Saccharomyces cerevisiae S288C: one gene and its partners. The gene in region 1 interacts genetically with each later gene. Each region holds a gene or a part of one and is shown on either strand. Other genes may lie near its edges.

What was found.
Region 2: mutations in SEN54 (region 1) and EAR1 together harm fitness more than expected from each alone (negative genetic interaction), as found in Saccharomyces cerevisiae (one large-scale study listed by BioGRID).
Region 3: mutations in SEN54 (region 1) and YGR237C together harm fitness more than expected from each alone (negative genetic interaction), as found in Saccharomyces cerevisiae (one large-scale study listed by BioGRID).

Annotation. Positions count from the first base shown.
Region 1 is NC_001148.4:396,060-400,081, reverse strand, and holds SEN54 (tRNA splicing endonuclease subunit SEN54), read left to right. Parts: upstream 1-1,976; coding exon 1,977-3,380; downstream 3,381-4,022. Other genes in the region: MOT1 (DNA-binding ATPase), read left to right, coding at 1-1,602; BRO1 (Bro1p), read right to left, coding at 3,510-4,022. UniProt on the Saccharomyces cerevisiae protein: Non-catalytic subunit of the tRNA-splicing endonuclease complex, a complex responsible for identification and cleavage of the splice sites in pre-tRNA. It cleaves pre-tRNA at the 5' and 3' splice sites to release the intron.
Region 2 is NC_001145.3:603,309-607,237, reverse strand, and holds EAR1 (Ear1p), read left to right. Parts: upstream 1-1,717; coding exon 1,718-3,370; downstream 3,371-3,929. Other genes in the region: HOT1 (Hot1p), read right to left, coding at 1-1,257.
Region 3 is NC_001139.9:962,687-967,386, reverse strand, and holds YGR237C (uncharacterized protein), read left to right. Parts: upstream 1-1,731; coding exon 1,732-4,089; downstream 4,090-4,700. Other genes in the region: KEL2 (Kel2p), read left to right, coding at 1-1,348; SPG1 (Spg1p), read left to right, coding at 4,570-4,700.

The DNA of each region.
Region 1 (4,022 bases):
TCTCTCATAATATGCCCCCCATCTTTAACTGGCCATTGGGAAAACGAGTTTGACCAGTATGCTCCCTTTTTAAAGGTTGTTGTGTATGCCGGTGGCCCAACTGTCAGATTAACTCTGAGACCACAGTTAAGTGATGCTGATATTATTGTAACATCATATGACGTAGCTAGAAATGATCTCGCAGTCCTAAACAAAACTGAATATAATTATTGTGTTTTGGATGAAGGACATATAATTAAAAACTCTCAATCAAAACTTGCTAAGGCTGTTAAAGAAATTACTGCAAACCATAGATTAATTTTAACCGGAACTCCCATCCAAAACAACGTTTTAGAATTGTGGTCTCTGTTTGACTTCTTAATGCCGGGATTTTTGGGAACGGAAAAGATGTTCCAGGAAAGGTTCGCAAAGCCAATCGCTGCGTCAAGAAATAGTAAAACATCATCTAAGGAGCAGGAAGCAGGTGTACTGGCTTTGGAGGCACTACATAAGCAAGTTCTACCTTTCATGCTGAGAAGATTGAAGGAAGACGTTCTATCTGATTTACCACCTAAAATTATTCAGGATTACTACTGTGAATTAGGTGATTTACAAAAACAACTATACATGGATTTTACTAAAAAACAAAAAAATGTAGTTGAGAAAGATATTGAAAATTCTGAGATTGCTGATGGCAAGCAACATATTTTCCAAGCTTTACAATACATGAGAAAATTGTGTAATCATCCAGCTTTGGTCCTTTCACCAAATCACCCGCAATTAGCGCAAGTACAAGACTATTTAAAGCAAACTGGTCTAGATTTACACGATATTATCAACGCTCCAAAACTGAGCGCATTGAGAACATTACTCTTTGAATGTGGTATAGGTGAAGAAGATATCGACAAAAAAGCAAGCCAAGATCAGAATTTTCCTATTCAAAATGTCATATCACAACACAGAGCCCTGATTTTCTGCCAACTAAAAGATATGCTAGACATGGTTGAAAATGACTTGTTTAAAAAGTATATGCCCTCCGTAACCTATATGAGGCTAGATGGAAGCATTGACCCAAGAGACAGACAAAAAGTTGTTCGGAAATTTAACGAAGATCCCTCTATTGATTGCCTACTGTTGACCACCAAGGTCGGAGGGCTGGGTCTGAATTTAACTGGTGCAGACACCGTCATTTTTGTAGAGCATGACTGGAATCCAATGAATGATCTACAGGCAATGGACAGAGCACATAGAATTGGTCAGAAAAAGGTTGTTAATGTTTACAGAATTATTACGAAAGGTACGCTTGAAGAAAAAATCATGGGTTTGCAGAAATTCAAAATGAATATAGCTTCTACAGTTGTTAATCAGCAAAACAGTGGATTAGCATCCATGGATACACATCAGCTGCTTGATCTCTTCGACCCCGATAACGTTACCTCACAGGACAATGAGGAAAAGAATAATGGCGATTCCCAAGCAGCCAAGGGCATGGAAGATATTGCCAACGAGACTGGTTTAACTGGCAAAGCCAAAGAGGCCCTCGGTGAATTGAAAGAGCTATGGGACCCATCTCAATACGAGGAGGAGTATAATTTAGACACCTTCATCAAAACTTTACGATAAACAAATTCTTGCATTGGAATGACGCGTATACAAGGTCATTTTTGTTTTATTTAACGCATTTATGTATTATCAACTTGTAATATAATACGGTATATTAATGGAGTCTTATAGAATTTACGGGTATATTCAAATCAGTATTGATAATGTTTTCATATTCTCTTGTTAAAATTCAGGTTATTAGCTGTCTATTGATTATGGCTTGGACTTTTTTTTTATTTTATTATTTTTCATAGTTAAGTTGCGCCAAAGGGAAACTAGAAACAGTTTAGTCGAACTCTGCAGAGCTTCATCTCAGTATGAAAAATTATTCATTTGAGCTATCGAAACGTTTGGATATAAACATACATAAAACCTCTGTTCTTCTGCCAATTTAAATGCAATTCGCTGGGAAGAAAACTGATCAAGTGACCACATCTAATCCGGGCTTTGAAGAAGAAGAAGAAGAAGAAGAAGAACTACAACAAGATTGGTCGCAACTCGCATCGCTCGTTAGCAAAAATGCTGCTCTTTCACTTCCAAAGAGGGGTGAAAAAGACTATGAACCAGATGGGACTAATTTGCAAGATCTGCTTCTCTATAATGCAAGTAAAGCCATGTTTGATACCATATCAGACTCAATAAGAGGCACAACAGTAAAATCTGAAGTAAGAGGATACTATGTTCCCCATAAACATCAAGCCGTTCTACTTAAACCCAAAGGCAGCTTTATGCAAACGATGGGAAGGGCTGATAGCACAGGCGAACTCTGGCTTGACTTCCATGAGTTTGTTTATTTGGCAGAGAGAGGCACTATTCTTCCTTATTATAGATTAGAAGCAGGCTCTAACAAAAGCTCAAAGCACGAAACAGAGATTTTACTCAGTATGGAGGATTTGTATTCGCTGTTTTCATCGCAACAGGAAATGGACCAATATTTTGTGTTTGCTCATTTAAAAAGGTTGGGTTTTATTCTAAAACCCAGCAATCAAGAAGCAGCAGTCAAGACTTCCTTTTTCCCATTGAAAAAGCAACGAAGTAATTTACAAGCAATCACTTGGAGATTACTTTCATTGTTTAAAATACAAGAGTTATCGCTGTTTAGTGGTTTCTTCTATTCTAAGTGGAATTTTTTTTTTCGTAAATATACGACTTCACCACAGTTATACCAGGGTTTAAATAGGCTTGTTCGTTCCGTGGCTGTACCAAAGAATAAAAAAGAGCTATTGGATGCACAATCTGATAGGGAATTTCAAAAGGTAAAGGATATTCCCTTGACATTTAAAGTATGGAAACCCCATTCTAATTTCAAGAAAAGAGACCCCGGTCTTCCTGATTTCCAAGTTTTCGTTTACAATAAAAATGACGATCTTCAGCATTTTCCTACCTATAAAGAGCTGCGATCTATGTTTTCCTCACTTGATTATAAATTCGAATTTTTAAGCGAAATCGAGGATGATGACGATTGGGAGACAAACTCCTACGTTGAAGATATCCCACGAAAGGAATATATTCATAAGAGGAGCGCGAAATCTCAAACTGAAAAAAGTGAGTCGTCTATGAAAGCAAGTTTTCAAAAAAAAACTGCACAGTCTAGCACGAAAAAGAAGAGAAAGGCGTACCCACCTCACATACAGCAAAATCGTAGATTGAAGACGGGATATCGGAGCTTTATTATCGCTATTATGGATAATGGCCTTATTTCGTTTGTAAAAATGTCCGAGGCTGATTTTGGATCTGAAAGTGTATGGTATACACCTAATACTCAAAAGAAAGTAGATCAAAGATGGAAGAAGCATTAAAGGGACTTTTGCTAAATCGCAGTTTCTTTATCCTTGCAAAACTGGCTTTCAACAAATCCGGTATATATATAATTATCATATTAGTTGAAAAAAAAAAGCTACAATAAAATTAAGAAATAAGAAATGCACCTAACTGCTGTATTTGGAGTACATATTTTCATCAAAAACAGAGGGTCTATTGTAAAAGGACGTAGGATTCTCTTGCAGTTCACGTTCTTCGTTTTCAACTGCTTTACGTCTTCTCAAGTCGTACATATCCTCTTGCGATTGTTTCGGTGGTACTGGTGGGGCTGCCATAGTAGGCGTTGCAGCATATGGCGAAGCTTCATAAGTTCTTGGTGGAATACCGGGTCCTTGAGGTAAATCACTGCCGGCACTTATTTTGAGATTTTGAAATTGGTCCCCTAAATTGAGCCCTTGTCTAGATAATGACTGAAAGGCTGCACTTTTTTGGGGCAGTAATGGAGGACCCCCAACGACAGACGCTTTAGAATCAAGTGGAGGGAGGGGAGGAGCGGGAGAATTAGCTGTTGAATCCTCGGTCTGCTTTGCAACTCTCACTCTTTCTGCTAAGTCTCTACTCATATTGAATAATGAATCATAGAACTCTATTCCTTTTGGCAAGTCGGATGCAAAAATACT
Region 2 (3,929 bases), on another chromosome or scaffold:
TGTAGAATTATGAGAATTCGTTAATGGAGATAGGGCTGATATGGGCTTTTGTGCAGCACTAGCATGGTCATTTGTGCTCGCATTGTTGTTACTTTGCGTATTTCTTCTGCGCCGTTTAATCCCATTTGGGTTCAACTTGAATGGCTTGTCAGTTGAAGCGTTCGGGAAACTAATAGGCGAGCGATTTACCTGCTGATGTGTATTTGTGTTATGAATTAAAACCTGCGACTGGTTCTGATTGGCTTGTGTGTTTATAACAGGACCAAGTTGTCGGTTAGGGAGCGATTGGTTTATATTTTGGGAAACATTATTTCGATTATGCTGCTGATCAGGTAAGATAGTATTTAGTGCGTTAGAAAATTGGTTGTTTAGCTGTGCAGTATTCGTATTCACATCTATGGTTCCATTCGTAGTCCGATGCTGGTTGATACCAGAATGGGTGTTGGAATCTCCTGTACATAAATCAGCAGTATGCTGTCTACCAGAGCCATTATTCTGCATTTTCTGCAAGTAAGCACTACTAACGGCTGATATCGAATTTAGCAATTCGATAGCAAGCTTATTTTGGGCATTGTTTGTGCTTGGGCGCGCGCTTGGCTGCGCAACCAACTTAAGTAATATATTCAATTTGTTCATAACTTTATAGTTATCTTGTTTTAGGTTTAAAACCATTGTATTCTGTTCCGCGATCTTATTAGATAACTTGTTGAAGCTTTCCTCCATCTCAATCATTCGGGCACTCATTTCGTCCATTCTTTGAAAAATCTTCAACTGATCCGTCGATATTTCGTTCGACGGTGAATCATTAGTCAAGGATTGGCTTAACATACGCCCTGTACCCGCCGTTGTCGAGTTCGAAGCGGAAACATTCGAGTTCACCCGCTCTTCATTACTCAGTTTTTCACCAATAGTTTCTGTTGGTTGACTGGTACCTGTGGGTGCTGAAATCGCTGCTGAAGTCCTCAAAAGACCTCCATCTAGTGCATTTCCATCGTTGCGAAGTGTACTGGCGTTACTGCCACTGGCGCTCTCTGAACCAGTCGTAGGCGAAATGTGAGTGGGCAGTGAGAGGTCAAGATTGATACCTATAGCATCTTCATTTACTTGACTATTCATCCTGTACCCATCCTTTAATGTAGTGGGCATCATTAAGAATAAGAAGAAAGGGCTCATCAGTGTAGAATAATCGAAGCTGATGGTTATCCTATAAATCTTTGTACGTACGATGCAAAGAATCGCAATACCCATTCCAGACATTATGCTCCAGCCATATGTACCCTAAATATAATCTTTTTTGTATATAAAAAACCTAAAAAAGAGATAACTAAACCTAGCTCAATATTTAATTTGACCTAACCCTCCGTCGGCCCTTTTTTTTTATTTTTTTCTTCGGAACGGTGCGCTATAAAGAAAAAAGGCAAATTCCAGGTTATCCATATAAACGCCATAACAAAATTTCATTGATACAGGCTTTAAGAACCTTGCTCTATTTACTACTGCTCTTTCTTCCTCTCTCAGGTTGAGCTATTTTTGAGAATAGCGCTTTACTGCTGCATGGAGGAGTGATTTTTTATAGAACATTGAAAAACCAAAGGACTGGTGCCTAACTACAAAATTTTCAAGAGTTGTTTCAAGTTATCTATATTGTCATTGGTTAATAATTATAAAAAATCTTAAAGTTTGGAGAGCCAAATTTTTTTTCTATATAAAAAAGCAAATGTCATTCAAGTTTCTGATAGAATCGCTGCTTCTCGGTTCGATAAGCGGACAAATACGGTGTGGTAGATCTTCGGTGATCCCCCGTGGCGATGTATCTTATGGGGGAGACGATACTGACGAACTTAACATGGATATAATGTTGTTTGCGTTTGGAACCTTAATCGTGGTCTACATCGTCATCTGTATCGTTTATTTTTTTACAAAACAGATAGCTACGCGGCTTATAACTGCATATTATAATGAGCATGGCCCTGGCCAAAGAATATCTTTATTCAGCGATTATGACGAAAATAATGCACACGTTCATAGCAGAAGATTAATGGAAAACATGAGTTTAAGGTGGCCCAACAATCTTGACGATGCTGATGAAGTAAGAGATAAGCTGGCACAGTTGTCACCTGAAGAGCAGTTTTATTATAAGCAAGGTGAGGAGTATATCAAGCAGAACCCACCATTTCTGCTTAACCAGGGACTTTTACAACAGTCCGAAGATAGCAATCCAGACACCACCCGTGAAGACCCTATTATGAACGAGCAAACAAGGCAATATATTCAAGAAGAGGGGGCTTATGCATGGGAGTTTAGCCCAAATCCTGATATGCCAAACCATACTGTCATAGTGGAAAATAAAACAGAGGTTTCTTTTCTAAATTATAATTATGATGCTTCTATATCCACAAATCTACCCATTCCGTGTATAAATAAAGTATATTATTGTGAATTCAAGATATTTGAAACGGATGGCCCACTAAACAGTGATGAAAATGTATCGAAAGGTGTCATCTCATTTGGTCTTTCCACACAGCCTTATCCATATTTCAGGTTACCGGGAAGACACCACCATTCGATAGCATACGATTCTAACGGCGCCAGAAGATTTAATGACTCCTTCAAACTAAATGAGCAATTAAGAACGTTATTTCCACAGTGTGAAAAGGGAGACATTGTTGGCATTGGCTATAGGTCACGTAGTGGAACAGTATTTTTCACCAGGAACGGAAAAAAACTAAATGAAAAATCTGTTGGTGGTCATATCCGCGGCTGGAAATTCCAATACCTATACCCGATCATTGGCTCCAACGTACCTTGTCAAATTCATGTGAATTTCGGCACTTATGGCTTTGTTTATATAGAAGCAAACGTTAAAAAATGGGGATACGCAAAGTCAAACGGCATTAAATTACCTCCTCCTTCTTACGAAGACTACGGTAAAGATACCCTATTAGAAAGCGGTGGTGAAGACAATGATTTCGACGAAGATTTTTCAGACGGTGATAGCGACAATATTGCGGCTGGTAGTACTACAAATCTCAATGATGATATAATTATAAGAAACGGTGAAATATTACCGCCACCACCTGGATTTGAATTCACTATGTCCCCTCCCACTGGAAAGAAGATCATCAATGAGGAAATTAATCTAGATTCCTTACCTATGCTACCACCAAGTTACTCGGACGATGAACATCATTCGAAAAATGATAAATCAGCAATAAGCGGACGAATTATTGGAACGAGCAGAAATTTAATTACTGATGAAGCATCTTTCGATAGTGTTGATAATGATAACGAAGATGAAAATGATCACGAGAGAGATCCCGAACAATTTTCAGAATTTGATGATTACGAAAGCAGGATGCATGGCATATAATACGAAAATGCATGAGATAGTAAGGCTGAAACACTAGCCCCGGTCAGTTATCTTTTTTTGCGCTGTATTACGCAGAGCCACCATTTTTTAAAAACATTGCAATTTATAACGTTTTCTTCCTTATTGAGGGTTTCAACGCTATCACCTACTCGATATCGCAGTGCAGCATATAGATATTTACATACATATATACATATGTTTACGTACACTAGTAAGGGCAACTGGTTGACCCGCAAACTTCCTTCTTACTTTCCGTACTTTTGCCATCTTTACTTGCACCTCCGTGCTACCTCTTAATGTGTCACAAGAAGAACGTATGAAGTATTTGTCAGCGCTTCAGACATCAGCATGGGTTGCAAATGCGTGAGATTAAAATGAAGCGTTCCAGCTCGAAAGAAAATTTGCTTATCTTTCCCTTCTATCATTTTTTTTTTCTCGTTTTTTATTTTGCATTGCCTTATCTTTTGCCGCCAGAAGAAACAAGGTTGCCATTATCGTGCCATGCGTTTACTTGCTAACGCCCTATGATGTTCCCGGCGGCTTTTGGATACTAATAATA
Region 3 (4,700 bases), on another chromosome or scaffold:
CGGGGGCTTTACACCCTCTAAGTCTACCGAAAGTGAAAATCAAGAGATAATAAACATTCTTACACCAAGATTGCCTGATAGCAAAGTTTTGAGTTATAATGATATTGATGAAGGGGCTGGAAGTTACTCCAGCGCTTTGGATGATAAGGCATTTGAACGAAAATCAGATAGGGAGGAAAAGAAACCCCAATCTTCCAAAGTTGATTCAAGCATCAATAAGGAAAGTCCGGGAACTGGTATCAAAGTATCTAAAAAAAATTTCCCTGTTCTACGAGGACTAACAGTGGATTCAGAAGAGTATGGCTCTTCTTCATATAAGGACACATCATGTCAAAAAGGAATTCCCAAAAATCTTTTTGATGATTTAAACCTGAACCTACAAACATTACGTCTCGAAGCTCAACAAAAGGAACTTGAAACTGCTAGACATATTTCACAATTAGAAAAGGAAGTCCAGAGACTCATGGTAATAAAAGAAGCTTCAAAAGATTCAAATTTTCAAACAGCACGGCTTAAAAATCTAGAAATTCAGAAAACCTTTTTAGAATCTAGAATTAATGATTTAAAAAATTTATTGATGGTCAAATTATCTCAGGCAAGTAAACTCTGTGACCAAATTACGATTCAAAATAATGGACTTAAAACATGCTCCGAACATGTCACTATTAAAAGGGATATCATCGATCTTGAGAATAAATGTGATGTTTTGAAGCGCCAGAACGAAATACTTGTAAATAATATGCAAAAAATAACCCCCGAACTTCATACCTATTTGAACGAATCGTCCTGCTATCTGGGTAAATTATTAAAAAGCTATCCTACCAGTGCACGGCCACCTTCAAGTGAGAAAGATAATCAAATATATGAGAAAGATTCGCTGAACAAAATAGAAAAAGTAATAAATGAAATGCACGAAACCGTGCGTGCTAAAGAGAAATTGCACCTTGAAACTCAGAAGCTTAATGATGAAAGAGATTCTTTGCGGGCTAATTTACTCGACAATAACAACAAGTTGGATGCGCTAAGAAAACTCTCTGATGGAAGCTCGAAGTCTATGGACCTAACAAAGAAGGCTATTCACCTATCACAATCCGAGCTCGAAAAATATCGTAAAAACAACGACGATTTACAGAAGGAGATTGATAGAATTAAAACTGAACAAGCTGAACAGGATGACAAGCAGGAACAGCGTGGCGCCATCACTCATGGAAATTTTGATGCGTTCCACAGAATGAAAATCAACAATCTGAAAGCGGAACTGTATATGTCGAAAGAAAATAGAGATTCCCTCAAGGACGAACTGCTAGCTTTAAAAAAAAAACTATATACTCTCGAACAAAAAAAATAGTCATTGGAAGACGTTGTTACGCACTGGGAAGTCAATATGTACAAAGTATATAAAAATATATTTAAACACCTATAAGGACATTGTAAACATTAAGTATTAATAGAAGGAGAATATAATTGCCAACTAAGCCTTTTGAGGTTAATATTCAATGGTGCAAAATTAGTAGCCGCGGTTATTATTATTCGCCGGGTAAAGAGCCCGCTTTTCTAGGGGGATTTTAGGTGAGCATGCCTCTAGAAAGCCAGAAGGACCCTTAACGAAGCGAAACTGTTCAGAAGAATGAATAAAAAGACACATTGAAAAAAAGAATATTGTCGCACTGTACATAAGGGAGAAGCTGTAATCCCTGGCAAACTGCTAATATCTAATAAAAATAATAGAAGATGTCATCTGCAAAGACATTTACTAAGCATATCTCGTTTGATGATCTGGCACCTTCCTTAATTGATGACCAAGCTACCATTATTAAAAATGACAGTCACCATGTTGGCTTGAATAATCATTTTTTACATATACCTCCACAATTTAATCCTGTTTACAAAAATACTTTGACCGGTAGCCATGGCTCTAATGACCTTGCCACTGACGAAAGCTTGGACTCACCCGAAGACGAAGAAGCTTCTTCGCCACTACAACTAGGAACTCCAACGTCTACAACATCTGGAGTTCCTCACTTCTATACTCAGGTATTTTCTCCTGCAGCACATGATCCCTCCAAAAGCTATTTGAGATCGCCCAGCGTTGAAAGAAGTAGAAGTGAGTCTCCAATGTTCAGGTCAAGAAGAAGGACTTCAGTGAGGTTGCCTCCCCCTCCAAAAGTATCCGTGCTAAAAAAATCTCGAAAAGCTGCTGATGAACAGGGCCCTATTGATGATATTGATATTGGTGATTTGGATTTTGAGCTGGAAAGAAAAATGACCAAAATGACCGAAAGAAACACTCAAAAAAATTCTGGATCAAGGAAAGGCTATACGCAAGCTGCATTTGCCAATCTTAATGAAGTTGAAGATAGAATTGAGACCAAGTCAATGGTAGATTTATCCGAAAGCGAAAATATGGAGAGCTCAAAGAAAAGGTCCAAGTCGTTTGCCGGGATGACAGACGAAGAATTAGCCAAATTAGAGGAATTTTATATAAGTAAAGGAAGATCGAACAAGACTAAAATAGATCAATTTGATTTTGGTGAGCAAGTTCCAGTCTATTTGAACACAACAGAGTCAAAAACGGATTCAAGCAACGTGACGGACCCTTTAGCAGCAATTTATCCATCAAGGCCTACAATTGTTCACAATGCAATTTCAATGACAATTGATCATCCAGACTATGAAAATTATATTTCCAATACAAAAGAAAAGCTCAATTGCAAAGACAAAGATGACGATGTAGATTTAAGAGTTGTTTCGTGTTATATATCAGGTAGGAGATATACTTGGTCATCTGTGGACTGGTATGTTGAAAATTTGACAAGAAATGGTGATCATTTAGTCATAATTACTACAATTCCTGAGTTTGAAGCAAAGATTGATACTCTAGCATATAAGGAGAAAAGAAGGCACCGCTTAGAAAGGATGACTAGCAATACTAGTGAAAGCATGACTACCGCGTCACATAGCCTTATAGGCCCGGATCTCTCTAGTCCTTTATCAACGGGAATAAGAATAGAAGCTATTCATAATGAGGCTAAGCAAACTTGTAGCGATATTTTAAATTACTACGCGAGAAGATTGGCAACTAAAATAGTTAGGATTAGTATTGAGATGGTAAAAGAAAATTCAACAAGATCAGCCATAATATCTGCGACCTCTCTGTATAGGCCAAGTTTGCAAGTAATCAGCACCGTTAGTGCCAACATTCAAATCAAGTTTAGAAATGGAAAAGTGAAACTACCATTTTTTTTAATGAAACACTTTGCAATGCCAGCATTTGTTGTCCCATTCGAATTCATCAAGCCTGAGCTTTTAATAAAACCTAGAGTGGATAAAGATGAACAGGACAACAGCGATGATTTGAAAACGGAAGTGAGAAAAAAGGAACGATTGCAATGGCTAAGTGCATTAATCAGGAGAACTTTGGAAAACCCTTTCACAAAACATAAAGTGGTTGATTCGGATGATGAAGAAAGCGATAGTGATGAGTCAGTAACCTCTGTAAATGAGTACTTCCCAATCTCACCTGAAAAAAAGGAAGAAATGGAATTCTTCGATAAGATGGGATATGTTAGACCAAAACCGTCGAGACAAGTACTATTGGATGATAACACTCTTATGAAGTACGACAGTTCTGGCCGAAAGCTAACTCCTATAGAATCGAGAAATTCGAGGCGCAGCTCAAAGCGGAGTTCAAGAATACAATTCAACAATAACGGCATTTATAAAGTAAAGTCCATGGTTGATGACATTTACAACCACGAAACTGCCTCTACGCCTCATATCAAGACAGCACTAAAATGGGACAATGAGGATCCGAAAATGAAGTTCACTTCACATCCAATGAGAAAAACAAAATCCGCAGGGCTATCACCCAGAACATCCTCCACTTCATCTTCTTCAGGACAGAGAAAAGCGCATCACCACCACCATCACCACAACCACGTTTCAAGGACGAAAACTACCGAAAGCACCAAATCAGGCAACAGCAAAAAGGACAGTTCCTCATCCTCAACAAACGACCATCAATTTAAAAGGTCTGAAAAGAAGAAAAAAAGTAAATTTGGCTCGATCTTCAAAAAAGTTTTCGGATGAACCGGATTAATACAAGTAAAATCAGCAAAGATATAGAAGACAAAATAAGCGTGAAAACAATCATAAACCACTCACAACGGGGGTTTTCAGCTGTTACTCCTCCATACATACATTTTGATAAAGATATAATGTTATATTTCTTTTCGTAATTTTGTTTTACTTCGGTTTGCTCTATAGATTTCATCAGCCGCACCGAAAAGGGAGATCAATAAGGTACCCTTTAAAAGGGATAAGAAGCCTACATCACCCCAATAAATGGAGTAATGGCCAGCATTGGATGAAGAGAAGAATTACGGGATACTGGGATAACACTGTTAAAAATGCTTCGCGACGTGAGGGTCTTCTTCATATAAATTGAACTGCCAAATCTCTTTCACATTATCCAGGATAGTTTGGAATGTGTGTTACTGAAGGATCAGAATCAATAAATACAATCAATACAAATATTTAGCGCATAAAATTCAAACAAAGTTTACTGAAATGAAGTTAGATTCAGGAATATACTCAGAGGCACAAAGAGTTGTGAGAACTCCAAAGTTTAGATATATTATGTTAGGGCTGGTGGGCGCTGCTGTGGTACCGACCGCATACATGAGGAGAGGCTATACGGT